Linked DNA regions of Alligator mississippiensis. The protein of the gene in region 1 purifies or fractionates together with the protein of each later gene. This does not show direct contact. Links are inferred from orthologs where the notes say so. Each region holds a gene or a part of one and is shown on either strand. Other genes may lie near its edges. The genes, in order: PNN and CLK2.

Evidence for each region.
Region 2: the proteins of PNN (region 1) and CLK2 purify together in Homo sapiens (affinity purification with mass spectrometry; 3 studies listed by BioGRID and IntAct, counting the BioPlex papers as one, with this or other methods). This does not show direct contact. The link is inferred for Alligator mississippiensis from reciprocal best matches to the Homo sapiens genes PNN and CLK2.

What each region holds. Positions count from the first base shown.
Region 1 is NC_081825.1:260,160,888-260,169,085, forward strand, and holds the start of PNN (pinin), read left to right. Parts: upstream 1-4,526; 5' UTR 4,527-4,625; coding exon 4,626-4,738; intron 4,739-4,963; coding exon 4,964-5,035; intron 5,036-6,754; coding exon 6,755-6,823; intron 6,824-8,198. UniProt on the Homo sapiens protein: Transcriptional activator binding to the E-box 1 core sequence of the E-cadherin promoter gene; the core-binding sequence is 5'CAGGTG-3'. Capable of reversing CTBP1-mediated transcription repression.
Region 2 is NC_081838.1:12,591,408-12,599,994, forward strand, and holds the start of CLK2 (dual specificity protein kinase CLK2), read left to right. Parts: upstream 1-5,140; 5' UTR 5,141-5,266; intron 5,267-5,506; coding exon 5,507-5,676; intron 5,677-5,786; coding exon 5,787-6,021; intron 6,022-7,685; coding exon 7,686-7,782; intron 7,783-8,125; coding exon 8,126-8,192; intron 8,193-8,527; coding exon 8,528-8,587. Other genes in the region: HCN3 (potassium/sodium hyperpolarization-activated cyclic nucleotide-gated channel 3), read right to left, coding at 1-158, 272-418, 724-942, 1,425-1,586, 1,821-2,250, 4,546-4,844. UniProt on the Homo sapiens protein: Dual specificity kinase acting on both serine/threonine and tyrosine-containing substrates. Phosphorylates serine- and arginine-rich (SR) proteins of the spliceosomal complex.

The DNA.
Region 1 (8,198 bases):
TGACTGTGTGTTTTTGTTTGTTTGTTTTTTTGGCAAAAGTGTGGGGGAATATAGGAAGCTGTGTGTGTACTACCGAATAATGTCTTTCCTTTTTCCAGTCCACTGTTCCTTTCTATTCTGCCTCCATCCTTTCCTATATTGTTTCTGTCTTTAAGAAAGTCTTAACTAACTCCTCTGCCTTGCTTGGCCCAGCTCCACCCCCACATAAGAACAACAATCCTATCCAGCCTGTCTGCACGTGACTTTAGTCTGCTGAGAAACAGAAACTGAAAGCCCAGAACTTTCAAGAAGCAAGAGCTGGTAGTTGGGCTGGACAGACAGACTAGAGCCATTTTCATGAGATGAAAAATTGAAATGAATGCCCATGTTTGATTGATAGGTAACTCAATGTGTGAGTGTCTGTGTGTGAGACAGAGCCATTAATTCATTTTTATGAGACTGTAAGTGTAGGTTTATCATATTTGTGATGAGGTTTAACTGTAACTGTTATTTTTTAAACAAGATAGAAATTTAGTACTTTATTGACGATTTTAAAAAAATCCAATTTTTAAATTTTAAAAAAATCCAATTTTTAAATTTATTTTTTCTTAATCATTGATTTTTATCTACCCTGCTTTGGGCACAAACACCCTTCTGTTTCCAGAGATAACAGCCTTGTTAACAGCAGTATCTGGAGATGAGAGATAAGACCTGATTGCCTGCCCATCAGCCCTATTGTTTCTTTAAGTTTGTGTGTATATAGAGTCAAGCCCTTACCTCTCTCTAGAAGTGCAAAGTTTCAAGAAGTTAAATGAATAGAGGATAGGAGGTAGAGTAGATCTGGGAAAGGAGGAGTCTGGAAATAAATGCAAGGAGGGAGGGGAAGTAGAAACAACAGAGGCACATTTTGAGCAGAAGATTCCAGAAGTTGTGAGGAATATCCTTCTGAGTATAGCCTCTCCACTGATTTGAGATCTAGTGAGGGACTGGTATGGTAGAAGGGAAAACCTATCATGGCAGCAGGCTTGCCAGGCCGTAAAAAAGACCCTGTTTGGGAATATTTCATTAAAATTCCTCCACCGTTGGGGAAGACAGGCATGCGTGCAAAATGCAAACAATGTAACAAAGAAATGCAAGGCCTGGTTGCCCGAATGAAACATCTTGAGAAGTGCTCCTTCTCAGGAGAAAACTGCTTTGAAGATGATGAATGGAACATGTCTGAACATGGAGGATCTCCAGGTTAGTAAATTTTCTTATTTCATATTTCTGTCTTACGGACTGCCCATCTCCCCTGTTCATAGCTTGTGGAAGGACTTCAGGACTACTTGAATTCTCATAAAATTGAGAAAAATATAGTTACTTTATAGAACTACCATATTTTAGTGCAGTTGTGATCTAAAATAATGGCTGAAATAGGCAGATCTTCCTTTTACAGTTTTACTTCTAAAATAGTACTGAGTACAATGAGTACTACTAAATGAGTTGTACTGTAGTGACTGCATTGACTTCTTTTGTTCAGGAGGATGCATCCTCAACATACAGGATTCTGACTATCCATCTTCAACATCATCACTGTCTACAATTTCAGAGTTACCTATTAATGATACCAGTGTTCCAGTCAAATGTATGTCACGTAGTACATCACCAGTAGCAAAAAGGAAAAAAATCTCCTTAATCCAGAAACCACCATAGATACATTTAGAATAAGAACCAACAGATTACAGCATGAGGTACTTGATGAAAAAATTGCTCGGTTTGTTTATGCAACAAACGCGCCTTTCTGTATAGTTGAGAACACACACTTCATTGACATGGTTCAGTTATTACGACCGGGATACAGTCCACCCAAAAGAGCAGATATAGTAGGCAAATTGCTGGATAAAGTGTATGAGAGAGAAATTGAACAGTGTGCAAAAAGTCTGGAGGGGAAAATTGTTAACCTGAGTCTTGATGGGTGGAGCAATGTGCACAATGATCCAGTAATATGTGCTTGTGTGACCACAGAAGAAGGGACTGTCTACCTTACAGAAACGGTTGATACATCAGGAAATGCATACACAGCAGAATACTTACAAGAAGTAACAGTAAAAGCTATAACAAACTGTGAAAAAACATTGAAATGTCTAGTAGGCAGCTTTGTCACAGACAATGCTGCAAATATATCAAAGATGAGAAGAAATCTAGAAGAAAGTAAGGAAAGCCCCAAGCTAATAACATATAGCTGCAGCGCTCATTTGATGCACCTCTTAGCCAAAGACTTCAGTGCTCCAGAAATAAAGGCTAATGTTGCTGAAATTGCAAAATACTTCCTTAACAGCCACTTTGCAGCAGCTGCTCTGAAGAAAGCAGGAGGCACCAAACTAACTCTCCCACAAGACCAGAAATGGAACTCAGTAGTGGACTGTTTTGAGCAATATATTGAGAACTGGCCTAACTTGATGAGTTTGTGAACAAAATCATGACAAAATAGATGGAACTGTCATAGCTAAAGTTCTCGACATTGGGCTAAAGAGAAATGTGGAACGTGTGCTGACTATCCTGAAGCCTATTTCTGTAGCCTTGAACAAAGTGAAGGGAAATCGCTGTTTTATTGCTGATGCTGTTGAAATTTGGAAGGAACTGAGTGAGAACTTGAAGAGAGAAATCTGCAATGACAGAGTTAAATTACAGGCATTAAAACAACGAATGGATCAAGCACTATCTCCAGCTCACTTTCTTGCCAATGTTCTCAATACTCAGTACCAGGGTCAATCCTTAACTGCTGAAGAGGACTTGGCTATGACATGGGCATCCAGCAATCATCCCTCCATAATACCAACCATAATGAATTTCAGAGCTAAGGGTGGGTGAACCATTCAAGAAATATATGTTTGCTGATGAAGTTTTAAAGAAAGTCACACCAGTGAACTGGTGGAAGTCACTTAAGCACCTAGATCCACCAGAAACTATTGAAGTGATAATCCAGCTTTTAACAGCAGTAGCTTCTTCTTCTGCAGGTATAGAAAGACTATTTTCTTCCTTTGGACTGGTTCATTCTAAATTGAGAAATCATTTGGGAACTGAAAAAGCAGGAAAGCTTGTCTTTCTTTTCCAGTCTTTGAATAAACAGGAAGAGGAAGGTGAAGACTGAGTTTGCTGCATAACCCAATATTTTACATATCTCATGTTGACCTGGCTAAAATAATCTTTTAAATTTTTGTTAAAAACACATTTCACATTTATAACTAAACTAGTTAAAAATTCAAAAATATGCATCCTTTTGTTAAAATAATTATACATATCTGTTGTTGAAAACTATCCAAAATACATAACCTTATTGTTCTAGTTAATAAAACAATTTAAAAGTCTGTTGTTTTTGGTTATTGTCTTCCTAATACAGCATGGCAAAAATATCCCCCAAATATCCATGATTAACCTATTGAATTGGATAGTTCACTTCCCAGTGACTTCACATGTATCTGCCTCAGTTAACTTTGGTAACTAAAATAACCAGCGAGTTAAATCGTGATGCAAGTCAGGATATAAATCGATTTGGTCCTGACCCAGCAGAGAGGGAGCCGTCCCCTACCCCTCCCACAGCTGCAGGGCCCCCCGCCCCCGCAGTACCAGCTCCTAATTCAGACTTCAGTTTTTACTATAGCAGGCGGGTACAGCAGGCCAGCTGCACAGATCCCAACGCAGGGCAGAATGGTTTCCGCGCTAAGGATTCGCATTTGAAATTTCGGGGTTTATCCTGTGAACCTCGTCTGCACCCAGCAGTGCCGGCAACACGCGACAGGGGCTGCACCGCCGGCCTAGTAGCTTGCTACCCCTCTGCGCAGAGCGGAGACCGAGGTCAGCGAGCCCGGGCCGAGGCCGTGTGTCGTCGCCCCGCGGGCGTAGAGCCGGATTTCGCTGCACCGGCTCCCCCGAGAAATGCCAGGGCTGCGGCACGAGGTCCTAGTAAGGGACCCGGCTCAGGGACGGCGGCGCTGTGTAGCAGGCCGGCAGTAGGCCGCGGCAGTGGTATCAGACACGTAACCCACTCAGGCCGCGCGGGAGCAACTAAACCCGCGACCGCTGAGATGACTGGCGCAAGCCCTTGAGTCGCAGCATTATCAATAAAGCGCCTTGCCATTGGCTCGTTTGTCGGCGGGGCATGGAGCATCTGACAATCTGATTAGTCGCTGCCTGGGACCCACCCCCTCCTCTTTCAAGTCCCATCCCTCGCTTTCCGCTGGATGGGAGGAGGGGCTGTGGGCGCTATCGGGGGGGCGGTTTGGGGAAGTGTCAATCTTCATCCTGACTCTGATTGGTTGATACGAAGAAACGGAGCGGCGGTGATTGGTTAAAAGGCAACGCCGTTCTGCTTGCCCGTTTAGGGATTTCTGGAGGTAGCAGGGGAGGGCCCTGGCTGGTTGGGTGTGGGACATGTCACTCAGATGTGCGGCTCTGTAATTGGTTAGCTGGTTAGGCGGTAATTGGGTGCAGAGAACGTCCTTCGACTCAGGGCAGGGGCATTGGCGCGAGGAGGCGGCTCGGAATTGGCTACTGACGGATCGTGTCTGGCTCTCTGATTGGCGGGGCGCGGGCGGGCGGCACGTCTCGCTCCCCGTTACCCAGCGGTGCTTTGCGCTAGGCCGCAGTTAGGCCACGCTGCGGGCGGGATGGCGGTGGCGGTGCGCGCGCTGCAGGAGCAGCTGGAGAAGGCCAAGGAAAGCCTCAAGCACGTGGATGAGAACATCCGCAAGCTCACGGGCCGGGACCCCAACGATGTCAGGTGCGGCCGAGCGTGTCCGCTTCGCGCCTGGGCCCCGCGGAGCCTCCCCCGGGCTGCTCCGCTGCTCCCGGCGGGGGGAGGAGGGGTCCTGATCGAGGGCGTGGGTGCCTTCCCTCTCGCCCGGCGCGCTGGGTGGCCCTGGCCCGCCTGTGCGGCGCTCCGGGGCGGTCTCGGAGCCCCCTGGGCGGCTCGCAGCCTTCCTAACGCGCGCTCCGTTTCTTGCAGGCCCCCTCAGAGCAGGCTGTTACCCATCGCAGGCCCTGGTGGAGGTAGAGGCCGCGGTAGCTTACTGCTGAGGTAAGGACCGGCGACCCCCACATGTTTCTGTCCTTGCTGCTTCTCTTGGGTTTCTCCCCTTTGGGGCCCTGCTGCTGGGTACTGCTTGCAGAGCCGCCACAGGCTCCTTGCTTGAAAGGGCTGGAGCCGCATGTCTCAGACTCCCGCTTCCCCCTCGGGCAGCGGCTCAGCAGCTCTTCTCTTGCCCTCGTTTTTGTCTGTGAAATTAAATAGCGGAGCAGTCTCCTGTAGCAGAGACCTTGGGGAGGCCCCAGCAGGGATCCCGTGCTCTGGACTCTGGCCATTCTCATTTGCCATCTCGGGGATTGTGCCGGATGTATGCATTTCTGCCAATGCTGATGCTTTGCAGCCCCCTGATTGCAAATTGCTGGGTAAGGCACTTGGGTGCTATTGTATGGGGTCCTGTCTAGTGCCTAGATGGGATGTGGGGCTAAGAGAGCCAGAGCTCTGTTACACAGGTGACTGCTGGAGCTCTTAACCCCTGGATTTTCTACACGTTAACACCTAAAACTAGTTTTGACCACTTGGTATGCCTCTCAAACTTACACCACCCCAGGGCAGGATTATTTCTGATCTGTGGTACCCTGCTGGTGTTGCACTATTGTGTAGCTAGCTACTCTAGGCTATACTTTTGTCTAAAAAAAATCCTGTCTCTTCTTCACCCCCCCCCCCCCCCCCCCCACACACACACACACACACACACTCCCAGGGGAGCAGAAAGGGAAGCATTAAGTGTTGCTGCAGTCTAGGCAGGCTCAGCCTGGAGAAGGGGGTGGGGGTAAATGGGTTAACCCTTCCCTGCCTGCTCCTCCAAGACAGTCAGTGCAGACAGCCAGAAATGGAAGGGGGTGGAACTTATGGGGCAGAGGGGAAGCCTGTAATGGAGGGGGGCAGGATTCTTCCTTTCAGTTCTCCAGGCTCCTGCTGGCCTGGCATGTGACTCCTCCAAACTTGAGCCAGTACTAACGTCCATTAACATTTGTGAAGCTTACAGTGTAATATGTAACAAGGCCCTTAAATTGTGCTGTTGTGTCTGTAAGCTTAACTTTTAGATATGGTTCAAAAGCAAAACTTGGCAGTGTCAGAAAAGAGGTATTACTTTAGCAAAAGACTTTGTTGAAGCCAAGGGATAGAAGTTTTAAAACTGCTAACGATCATAATATATAACTTTGAATGAAACAGGTCTGGTGGCAAGAAGTGGAATGTTTTTTGTTTCTCTCTTTAAAATTAGAAGTTGGAAGAGTTATTTCCTAATATTGCTCCATTTTAAAATGTATTTTCTCTGGTACTGAATAGGTAGACTTACAGGCTCTTTTAACTGTTATTTTTGGTGAAAACTTAATACTAATACAGCATTCTTAAACTGTCCACACTTATAACCTGAGTAACTCTGTTTGCATGAGTAGCCTTACTGAAGTTGATGAGGGGGAGTGGGGATGACACTATTTAAGTTAGTATTGCTGTTCATGTGAATCAGTGTTTGCAGGATTTGACTTGAAATTATTTGCTCCATAGAGCAAGAATATGGGCCATTTTGTTGGTCTTTGTAAAATGCTGTATTCTTGCTGCTGCCTTAAAAAACTATTACCTTTACCATCTCTGAACAGAAACAGACTTGCCTACAAAACAGTAAACCAGAAGCAGACTTGGGGTTAGGAACTCCTGAATTTGGGATTCCTGACCTGTTCTTGGACATCATCTTTAGCTGTCTCTTTTTAGGCGTGGATTCTCGGATAGCGGAGGAGGACCCCCAGCCAAACAGAGGGATCTTGAAGGGGCAACCAGTAGGTAGGTAAAAAAAGAAAAAAAAAAAAGTACCTGTAGAGACTACACTAGGGTAAATGGCTGTTATGATTTAATAAATCTAATGCTCAGAATCGGTAATAGTTTGTGAAATAATCCCAGATTGATAAACTTCTTCAAGATTGGATGTTCCAAATCTAACTTTTGATGGTGATGATTTTACAGGACCAGTATCAGACCAACAGCAATATGACTGTCTCAGCAGTCATGAAATCCTGGTTTATTTGTTCTTCTCTGGAAAATATACAATGCATAGGGCCTCCCATGAAAAAGAAATTGCATTTTTTCTGGATTATCAGTCTTGAATTTACACTATTCATAATTCTGATGGGGGGGGTAAAATTGGGTGTATATATTTATTCTAATGTTAATGGAAGCATTTAGCTATGTAGATTATATAGTCCTACAATTCTCTTTATTTTTTTTTTTTTATTTTTTTTGCACGTCACCTTTAATAAAACAATTAAAGGAATGTGTAACTGATTTTTATTCAGCCTTTTAAAGACATTGATTTAAAGCTCTATTTCTGAGTTGCCGTATTTAAGTGTCTTATCATCATCGCCACAAGATTAGAGGGGTTGGGAATGTTGGGAGTGCATGGGGCTTGCTGGCCAGTATTTGGCCCTTGGTATGGACTTTATCTTCTTGAAACCTTACCCGTTTTATTGACAAATGAAAATTTATATGAAACATGTCACATTTAAATATATTCTGTAGAAGCAGGTCTTTTTATCAAATGTTGATTTCACAGCAGGCTCAGATAAGATTTAAGATATGCCTCACTCAGTGTGCAGTTTAAGAGGAGTTAAATCTTTTACCATTAATACAGAGCTAAATACTCTTTCAGTAAAACAAGATTAAGTTAATATGTGTTTTTATTTTTAAGTAGCTTCTGTACATCACCTGCTTTAGGAGTATGTAGAGCTGATACTTTAGGCTGGATCAAGTGAAGGAGAAAAACTAGAGTATAAAGCTGGAGATAGCTTTGTTCCTAACTTGTGCCTGCTGCTCTTCAGTAAGCCCTTATTCAGCAAAGCGCTCAGGGTACTTGGCTCACAGGCCTAGCCCATCAAGCCATGCCATTCAATCCTCAGTGGTCCCCACGGATCCAGAAACTTGACTGCAGGGGAGCAGTGGCAGCAACTGCCACTCCCCTGCTGCCAAATTTCCAGGCCCATGGGGAACGCTGCAAGCTATATTGCACACTAGATCAGTGTGCAGAGGTGGCCCAAGCCTGATCTGGGTACACAGGGGCTGGCTAGAAGCAGTGTGGGCCCCGAGGAGGCAATGTGAGGCCCTTCTTCAGCTGCATGGGACCGAGCAAGGCAGCACAGGGTCCTGATCCAGCTGCATGGTGCTG
Region 2 (8,587 bases), on another chromosome or scaffold:
ATCTTCTTGCCCACAGTGCCCTCGCGGACAATGAAGTCAGCAGGCTGGAAGACCTCAAAGCGCAGCTTGGTTAGCATGGCCGTCACGAAGTTGGGGTCGGCGTTCGCGAACAGCGGCATATTGGCCACCAGGTTCCGGCAGTTGAAGTTGATGATTTCCTGTGGGAGCAGTGAGGCTGCGGTGTCATGGGATCCAGGGCAGAATGTCTCCCCGGGGGTAGTTCCCACGACAGTCGCCCCTGCCCAACCCTGGGAGAACAGCCCCTCCCTACCTCCTTGAGTGGCTCGCTCAGCTCCCCTAGGATGTTCTCCTCGTCGAACATCTTGCCCTGGTAGCGGTGCTCATAGTACTCATGGATGCGTTGGCGCATGTCACCAGGCAGCTTGTGGAACGACATGTACTGCTCCACCTGCTTGTACTGGAGGGACAGACAGACGGACACAAGCTCACAGGGGGAGCTGGAAACCCTCTTCTGTAGCAGAACCCCTATGGAGAGGGCAGTAACCACACTCCAGGGCCTTTGGCTCCATGAGGGTGGAGGGGCACTGTCAGCTCATGGTCCCACCTGCAGCCCTCCCCAAGTACCAGGGCCTGAGGGCAGGAGCTAGGAGCATGGCCAACTCCCATGTCGAGCAGCTGTGGGCACCAGGTCAATTTGTTCTGGACTCATACCCCAGATCCCTCCCGGCAGCCCCAGGCACATCTCCTGCCTCCCCCACGCACCTTCTCCTGGTACTGTCGACGGGATGAGTCCAGTGACTGGATGAGGGCGGTGGCATGGCCAATGAACATAGCGTAGCAGGTGGCGCCCACGATCATGCTAAGCATAGTGAGCCAGACGTCGGTCATGCCCTCTGGGGCCTGCTGCCCATAGCCAATGCACAGCATGTGGCTCATGGCCTTGAACAGGGCGTGCGAGTACTGTTTCCCCCATGAGTCATTCTGGAGACAGGAGGTATGGAAAGGGGGATGGAGCTGTGCCCCAGCAGCCCCCGCTGCCTGAAAACCCAGGATCACCCACCTCCCAGGGCCACACCTTCTGGGCTGGGCCCCCATGGAAGCAGCAGGAGCCCCCTCCCTGCTCTCCCTTAGCACCTGGTGGGATAGATCTGCCCTGCTGGCTGCAGAAGTGAGCCGTGATCTCCCTCACTCCCTCCCACCTGACTGGTGCCCCAGGGTCGCAGCAGCCTGCAGGACCTCTGCAAGCTCCTGGCTCAGGAGCTTAGGGCACATGTGTAAGAGTGAGCACGTGTGCACGTGCCAGGATGCAAGCAAGAGTGTGTGCATGAGCAGATGCTTTAGACTGGGGTGGGTGGGGAGTCTCCCGCCCTGGACCACGTGCAACCTCACCCAAGTGGGAGCTCCTGCTGGCAGCTGCGGAGGCCTGGGGCTGGGCTCCAGGAGTGGGGAAGCATGGCACTCACCACCATGTGATTGATGGAGACCCAGCAGTCCTCAGGGAAGTCCTGCAGCATGGGCACCAGGAACTGGAGGCAGCCGTCCCAGTGGCATAGCAGTAGCATCATGCCAATTAGGTTGAAGATCCGCACCACAGCGCTGGCCAGGTCATAGGTCATGTGGAAAATCTGGGCATAGGGGAAGCCGGGAGCAAGACAGTAAGGAACCACTGCTCCCCAGGGCATCCATGGGGAAGGGAAGAGCTCCCCCATCTTCAGGCACCAGGTCCCTGGTGAGCTCCTCACCTTGCAACCAGCGGCACCTGAACTCCTGGCCAGGGGGCCCCACTCACCCTCCACCTTCCCCAGGCACGAGCCCCTAGGATGCCCCTCAGCCCCTCCGGCTGGCTCCTGGCCACCCACCTCCTCCCACTGGTGGATGTAGCGGATGAGGCGAGAGAGGCGCAGTAGGCGCAGCAGGCTGAGGATCTTGGTGAAGCGCACTATGCGCAGAGCCCGCGCTGTCTTGTAGACGTCTGAGTCCACCTGAGTCTCCAGGTCGACGATGAGGAAGATGTAGTCAACAGGGATGGAGGAGATGAAATCAACCAGGAACCAGCTCTTAAGGTACTTTGTTTTGATGGTGTGGGGGTCCAGGATGATCTCTGTGTTGTCCTCCACTACGATGCCTGTGCGGAAGTTTAGTACCAGGTCGGCCAGGAAGAAGGTGTCGGAGAGCACATTGAAGACGATCCAGGGCGGCGTGTTCTCGTCCTTGAAGAAGGTGATGCCTACGGGCAGGATGATCAGGTTCCCCACCATCAGCAGGAGCATAATGAGGTCCCAGTAGAACCTGTTGGGGGGGGGGGCGCAGAGCAGTGGGGAGAGAAGGGAAATATCCTCAGAGCGGCTGGAGCCTCAGGGGACAGCACAGAGATGTGGCTTCTGCCACGCATCCAGGGTGCCTGGGGGAGGTGGCTGCAGACAGGTGCTGTCTGGGTGTCTCGGGGAGCTCCAGCCTGGCCTCTCCCCACACCACCTGACATCATGGGCAAAGCCCCAGCCAGGCCTCAACTTCTCGGCTCCATCCCAACCTGCCGTTGTCCTGCTGTGCAGCCCGGGCTGGCCCCTTCCCCACAGGTCCAGTCTCTGCCAGGGGCCTTGCCAAGGCCTTCCCCATCACATCTACAACCCTGAACCCCAGCCCCCGATCATCACCTCCCTTGTCCTCCCCTGACCCCTGCCAGAGCAAACTACTGCAGGCTCAGAATCAGCACCTGCCTTTCTTGCAGCTACTAGGCAAATGTGCTGTGCCTAGTCATGGCTCGGAGCTACGGCAGCGTGCGGACAATGAAGACCAGGCCACATGGATGCCCTACTAGCTGGGCCTCTGCTCAAACCAATGAGCAGAAGGCCTGAGGAAGCCGCTCCCTGCAAGCCCCATGCAGGTGAAGCTGGCCCAGGGGCCCTGGGCTTGGATTCCCTCTGGATCAGGCCCTCAGCCCAGACAAGTGTCCCAGAGGCACAGACACATCCCAACATGCCCTGGCTGGGATGATCTAGTTGGGGCTTGTCCTGCTGTGAGTAGGGGCTGGACTCTATGACTCCCAAGGTCCTTTCTAGCCCTCGCTCCTATGATCCTAAGCACCAGCCAGGCCAAGGTGCACAGGGTAACTGCTCTGCAGCTGGGCAGAGCACAGCCAGATGCCCTCATGTGCAGTCACACACACAGTGTCCCAGCTTCATGCACGCGCGAGCCAGGACCTTGGGACACCCATACAGCCCCTTTCCTGGATATCTAAAACCTGCCCACTCCCATGCTCTCTACCCCCCAGACCCAGCCTGGTCTCTACATGCAGAAAGCGGTAGATGTGAGTCAGGGTCCGACCTGGACATTGTCACTTGGTCCCAAATGTAGCCAGGGGGCACAGTCCAGCACTTTAGAGCCAGGGCCCTACCCCTTGCTCTTCACTCCTCTGTCTTCCTCTCTGTAACCTGGAGCCTCTCACAGAGGCCCCAAGCCCATGAAGGGACGGGGCCACCTAGTCAGTGGTGAACCGCAAGGCACCGGGAACGCTGTAGACAGTGCGGTGGCAAAGGGGAAAGTAGGAAATGCTGATGCCACGTGGAGGACATCTCTGCCCCTGCCCCGTGGAGCCCTGCACAGGGACAGGGAGCTCAAGCCGCTGGGGAGCTGGCGTGGGCGAGGCCCCGAGTCTCCATGGCAGCAGCAAGGAGGATTAGCCATGGCTGCCTCGGGTCTGTGCCACAGGACTGCGTAACCTCTCCCAGCCTGGGGCCTCACCAGCCAGACAAGGGGCTTCCTACTGATTGCTCACCGCCCGTCGGAGGACATGACTGCTCAGGAGTCTGGCAGGAGAAGTTAATGCCACCTACACCCACATGCAGCCCTGATGGGCACTGGCCCCAGTCACAGCTCAGCCGCCCCCAGCAGCACTGGCTGGTCCCTCCTGCCCCAGTCCCCAGGGCTCGTGTCTGATGGAGGCTGCAAGCACTTTGGGGCTGGCTGCCTGTTTCTGCACGCGCCACCCAGCGCAGGGCCCTGCTCTCAGCCGGGGCTTGTGGTGCCGCCGTAATGCATAATCCCCCCACCCCCCACCCTGTGTCACTGGGTCACCTTCACCCTGCCGGGGGAGATCACCTCGGAGATAACCGCAGCTTAGCTTGTCTGGCACGTTACGAGCGGGTGTGAGCAGGGATGGGGTGCGCTGAGGCCGCCGCTGCAGTGGGATTAAGGGCCGGGGCAGCATTGGGAGAGGGAGGCGCCGGCAGCAGGTGCCCAGGCTCGTGGCTGTCTGGGAAGGGGCACAAGGGGCAGGCGCAGGCTCTGTGGTGAATGCCCGTCGCCTGTGCCTCCCCCCTCCTCCCCCCACGCACGTCTGTGTCCTCCCACCTGGCACGACACCCTGTCCCCCCGCCGGCCCCGGGAAACACGGGGCCCTCCCAGCCCGCGCAGGTGCCACCCTCTCCCGGAGCCGGAGCAGCGCTGAATCCCCTTGGATTTGGGGCAGCTCCTGCCTAGGTCCGGAGATGGAGACCCCCAGCACCCTCGGCTCTCCCGCCCCACACGGGCCGGCGCGGCGCGGCGCGGCGCGGGCTGCTCAGCACCATGGACAGCGGCGCTGACCTGAAGTCGCTGTAGGGGTGGATGATCCAGGGCCCGGCCGACTGCACGCGGCGCTGCTCGATCTCCACCGCCTTGTGGCTGCCGAACATGCGCAGCGAGAACTTGTTGACGGCCGGCTGCAGCAGGGCCCCGAGCTGCCGCCGCGCCCCGGCCCCCGGCCCCGGCCCCGGCCCCGGCCCCGGCCCCGGCCCCGGCCCCGCCGGCTCCTCGGCGCCCGCCGCCATGTGCTCGGGGCCGTCGCGCGGGCGCCCCGCGGCCTCCCCGTCCGGCGGCGGCCCCGGGCCCGGCGCCGCCTCCATGCTTCGTCAGACGGGCTGGGCCGGGCGCCCGCCCCGCGCCCCGGGGCTCATGGCCGCGGCGGCCGGCGCGGGGCGGGACGGGGCGGGGCGGGCCAAGGGCAGCGCGGGCGGCCGGGGCTGCCGGGACGTCAGCGGGCGGGGGCGGGGCCGCGGGGGCGGGGCTCCCCGGGTGACGCGACGGAGGGGCGGGGCCGGGGCTGTGTGACGCGGCGCGCACGTCCGACGCCTGGCGTGTGACGCGGTGTGCGCGCGGCGCCGCCGCGGCGGAGGCGGGGGAGCGCGGCCTGGCCCGAGCGGCGCGGCGCGGAGCAGCGGCGCGGAGGGAGCGCGGCCCCGCCCCGCCCGCCCGCGCGCGTGCGCGCGCGCCCGCCGCCGCCACGGATTTCCTGTGGGACAAGCGCACCGGGCTGGCTGCCAGGACGGTGCGCGGCGGGGCGGGGCTGGGCCGGGCCGGGCCGGGCCGGGCTGGGCCGGGTGGGGTGGGGTGGGGCGGGGCGCGGTCCGGTCCTCGGGCGCGGGGCGGCCCCGCCGCAGGGGCCCGGGGCGGGGCGGGGAGGAGCAGCGAACCGGGGCGGACCCGGCCCTGGTGCCGCCGTGGCCCGGCCTGGGCGCGGGGTGGCTCCGCCCGGGCCCGGCACTGACGCCGCCGCCGCCCCCCGCAGATGCCTCACTCGCGGAGGTACCGCTCGTCGGAGCGCAGCAGCCGCGGCAGCTACCGCGAGCGCTACCGCAGCCGCAAGCACAAGCGGCGGCGCTCGCGGTCCCGCTCCAGCAGCAGCGAGCGGGACCGGCGGCACCGGCGGGAGGACAGCTACCACGTGCGCTCCCGGAGGTGAGTGCCCACCACAGCCACCGCGGGGTCCCTGCACGGAGCTGCCCCCGTCCTTGCCCCCCGGGGCTGCCCTTGTGGGCCAGGTCCCAGCCACTCTCCTCCCGCCCTAGTTACGAAGACCACTCGGTGGACCGGCGAGCCTACGACCGGCGCTACTGCGACAGCTACCGGCGCAACGACTACAGCCGCGAGCGCGGGGAAGCCTACTACGACGCTGAGTACCGCCACTCCTATGAGTACCGGCGCTCCCGGGACCGCGAGGGCAGCTACCGCAGCTGCAAGAGCAGCCGGCGTAAGCACAGGCGGAGACGGCGCCGCAGCCGGTCCTTTAGCCGCTCTTCATCGGTGAGTACCCGACTGCACGCTGCCCCTTAACCTTTCTCTCCCAGGTGGCGAGCTGGGTAAGTAGCAAGCTTCCTTCCTTACGTGGTTTCTGAGTGCGCTTGAAATGACTAAATAACCTTGGTGCGGGCAGCAGCTCCTGGCCGCCCCGCGACATGCCAGAGCCGTGGCTGCCCGGTCCCTGGAGGGCGCAGGCAGGTCCTAAGGTCTGTCGGGGGTAACCGCTGTCCACAGGGGCTGCAGCCCCCAGCCTGTATCCCTGCTGCTGTTGTGCGCTGATGTTGGTGTTATGGTACCGTAGGGTCTCCCGCTCGAGGCTCTGCCTTCCTTGCTGCAGAGAGCTCAGTCCGGTTGTGGCCACGAGCCTGGCCTCTGGCAGGCCACGGCTGTGCTTCTCCTTCGGGGCGGTCTGTGGCAGGAGGCCCAGCCCTCTGTGTCTGAGTTGGAGGCGCAGTGCCTGGCTCCAGCCCCTGCTATGCAGGGGGGCTCTGGTCGAGTGTATCGGCCTGTGGAGCAGTCATTCAGATGAAGATGGCCATGCAGGCTCTTCCCAGTGTAGTGTCTTGGCTTTCTTTTCTTGTCTGTTCTGCCACTTGCCTTCCACATCCGTTAGGGCCAAGACACATGATCTCTGCACCTGGGGCTCTCACCAATGCCCGCTGTGGCCTGGCTGTGCCTTGGGGCTGCTCCAGGTCAAGGGCTTTGTATTCAGGGTGGGGGTTGAGTCCCTGAGCTTCTGGCTGGTCCCTCTGAAGTGTGGGGTTTCCTAGCTGAAGAACCGTGGCAGGAACTCTTTCTTTTTTGGTGCAATCTCTTGTCTGACTTATCTTAGGCTTTTCCTCTTCCCCATTCCCCATCTCTCGGGGAGCTAGTCTCCAGAACCAGCTTCTTTGAGGGGGTGGAGGGTGGACTTGGAGGTATCCAATTGGCCTTGGGGCAGTTACTAGTGAGGTCCGTCCGGTTCTGGATGAAATGTTGTGCAGACACTTGCTTCTGAAGCCTCCTAGCTCTTCCTTCTCTATGGCATTGGGGGAAAGCCATGGCTTGGGCTGTTGGAATGGGGAGGGGGCCGTGTGGGGGCGGCCTGGCCCTTTGTTTTGAAGGATTTTGCAGTGCGCCGCCTGCAGCTGCCCTTCCATGGCAGCTGATGCAAGGATGCAAGCCCCTCACTACAGCCACTGAGCCTCGGCTGCAGAGCCGTGTCTCGGTGTGCTCTCCTGGCTTTAATGCGGACCCGAATGTCAGCACCGTTTCTCTCCAAAGCCCCGGAAGAGCAAGAGCAGCCGGCTCCCTCCGGGTCCCCCCTTTCCCCCCCACTCGTCTTGGCTCTGGCGCTGGTTCGGGTGGGGCTGTTTTGTAGGATTTTTTTTTCTTTTCTTTTTTTTCTTTTTTTTATCTTTTTTTTTTTTTTTTTTTTTTGCTACAACAAAAAGCAAACTGTTTTTTTTCTTTTCTGAGCTAGTGTGTTGTATCTTGACATGTTCCCTTGCAATATCCCTATCGTTATATATTCCTCTGTGCCGTATGAATTGGCTGGGAATCTCCTGCAACCCCTCCTCAAACAACCATGTGAATTTCCAAACCAACCAATGCGTGACGCCGGCTGCTGCGCTGGTTTGAAATCTGATTGGCTGGTGAATGATGAATTCCCTGTCTGCCCGGGCCAGCAGCGGAGTCGACCGAGCAGCAGAAGGGCCAAGAGTGTGGAAGACGACGACGAGGGGCATCTGATCTATCGCGTCGGCGACTGGCTACAAGAAAGATGTACAGCCGAATCGTAACATAATTTAGCTCTCTAGTTAAGCTCCCATCGCAGTCGCAGATCTGTCTTATCTTTGTTTCATTTTATTTTCATTGTTTATTAAAGAGAAGCCCTCTCTCCCCCCCACCCCCTTTTATTAAAGCTACATATATATTCTATACTGTTACTGCAGTGCCAGGGATGTAGGGCAGTTGCCTTGTGCAGCCGGTCTCGGCCTTCCGCCCTGCCGGTCTCCAGCGTGCAGGCTAGGTGTTGCAATGCATTCTTCTCTGCCTTGTGTACGTGCCACAGCCAGGTCCCGCTCTCCACCTCATGGCCCTTTCTCTCTCTCTCCCTCCCTCTCAGATGAGATCATTAGCACCCTAGGAGAAGGTACATTTGGCCGAGTGGTGCAGTGCGTGGATCACCGGAGGTAGGCGTGCTACCAAGCTGGCAACACCATGCCAGGCTGCTGCCTTCTTGGGGGGGGAGCACGGGTCCAGCAGCCTTGCTCGTGTGGAGGCTGGAGTGTCGGGGTGATTGAGTCCCTTCTTATTCGGACTTAGCATGCACTGATCTGATCCAGTCCTGTTCATGGTCCCTGTGGGATGGGCTGGGATGGACCAGGGGGTAAAATCTGCTGTCTCAGCTGGTGGGGGTCACTGGGGCTCTACCACGTGGCCCCAGAAAGGGTGGAGGTTGTGGTGCCCATGTCCCTTGGAGCCACACGGGCCTCAGGCTCACAGTCCTGTTCCTGCCTCTCCCCAGGGGTGGTGCGCGTGTTGCACTCAAAATCATAAAGAACGTGGAGAAGTACAAGGAGGCTGC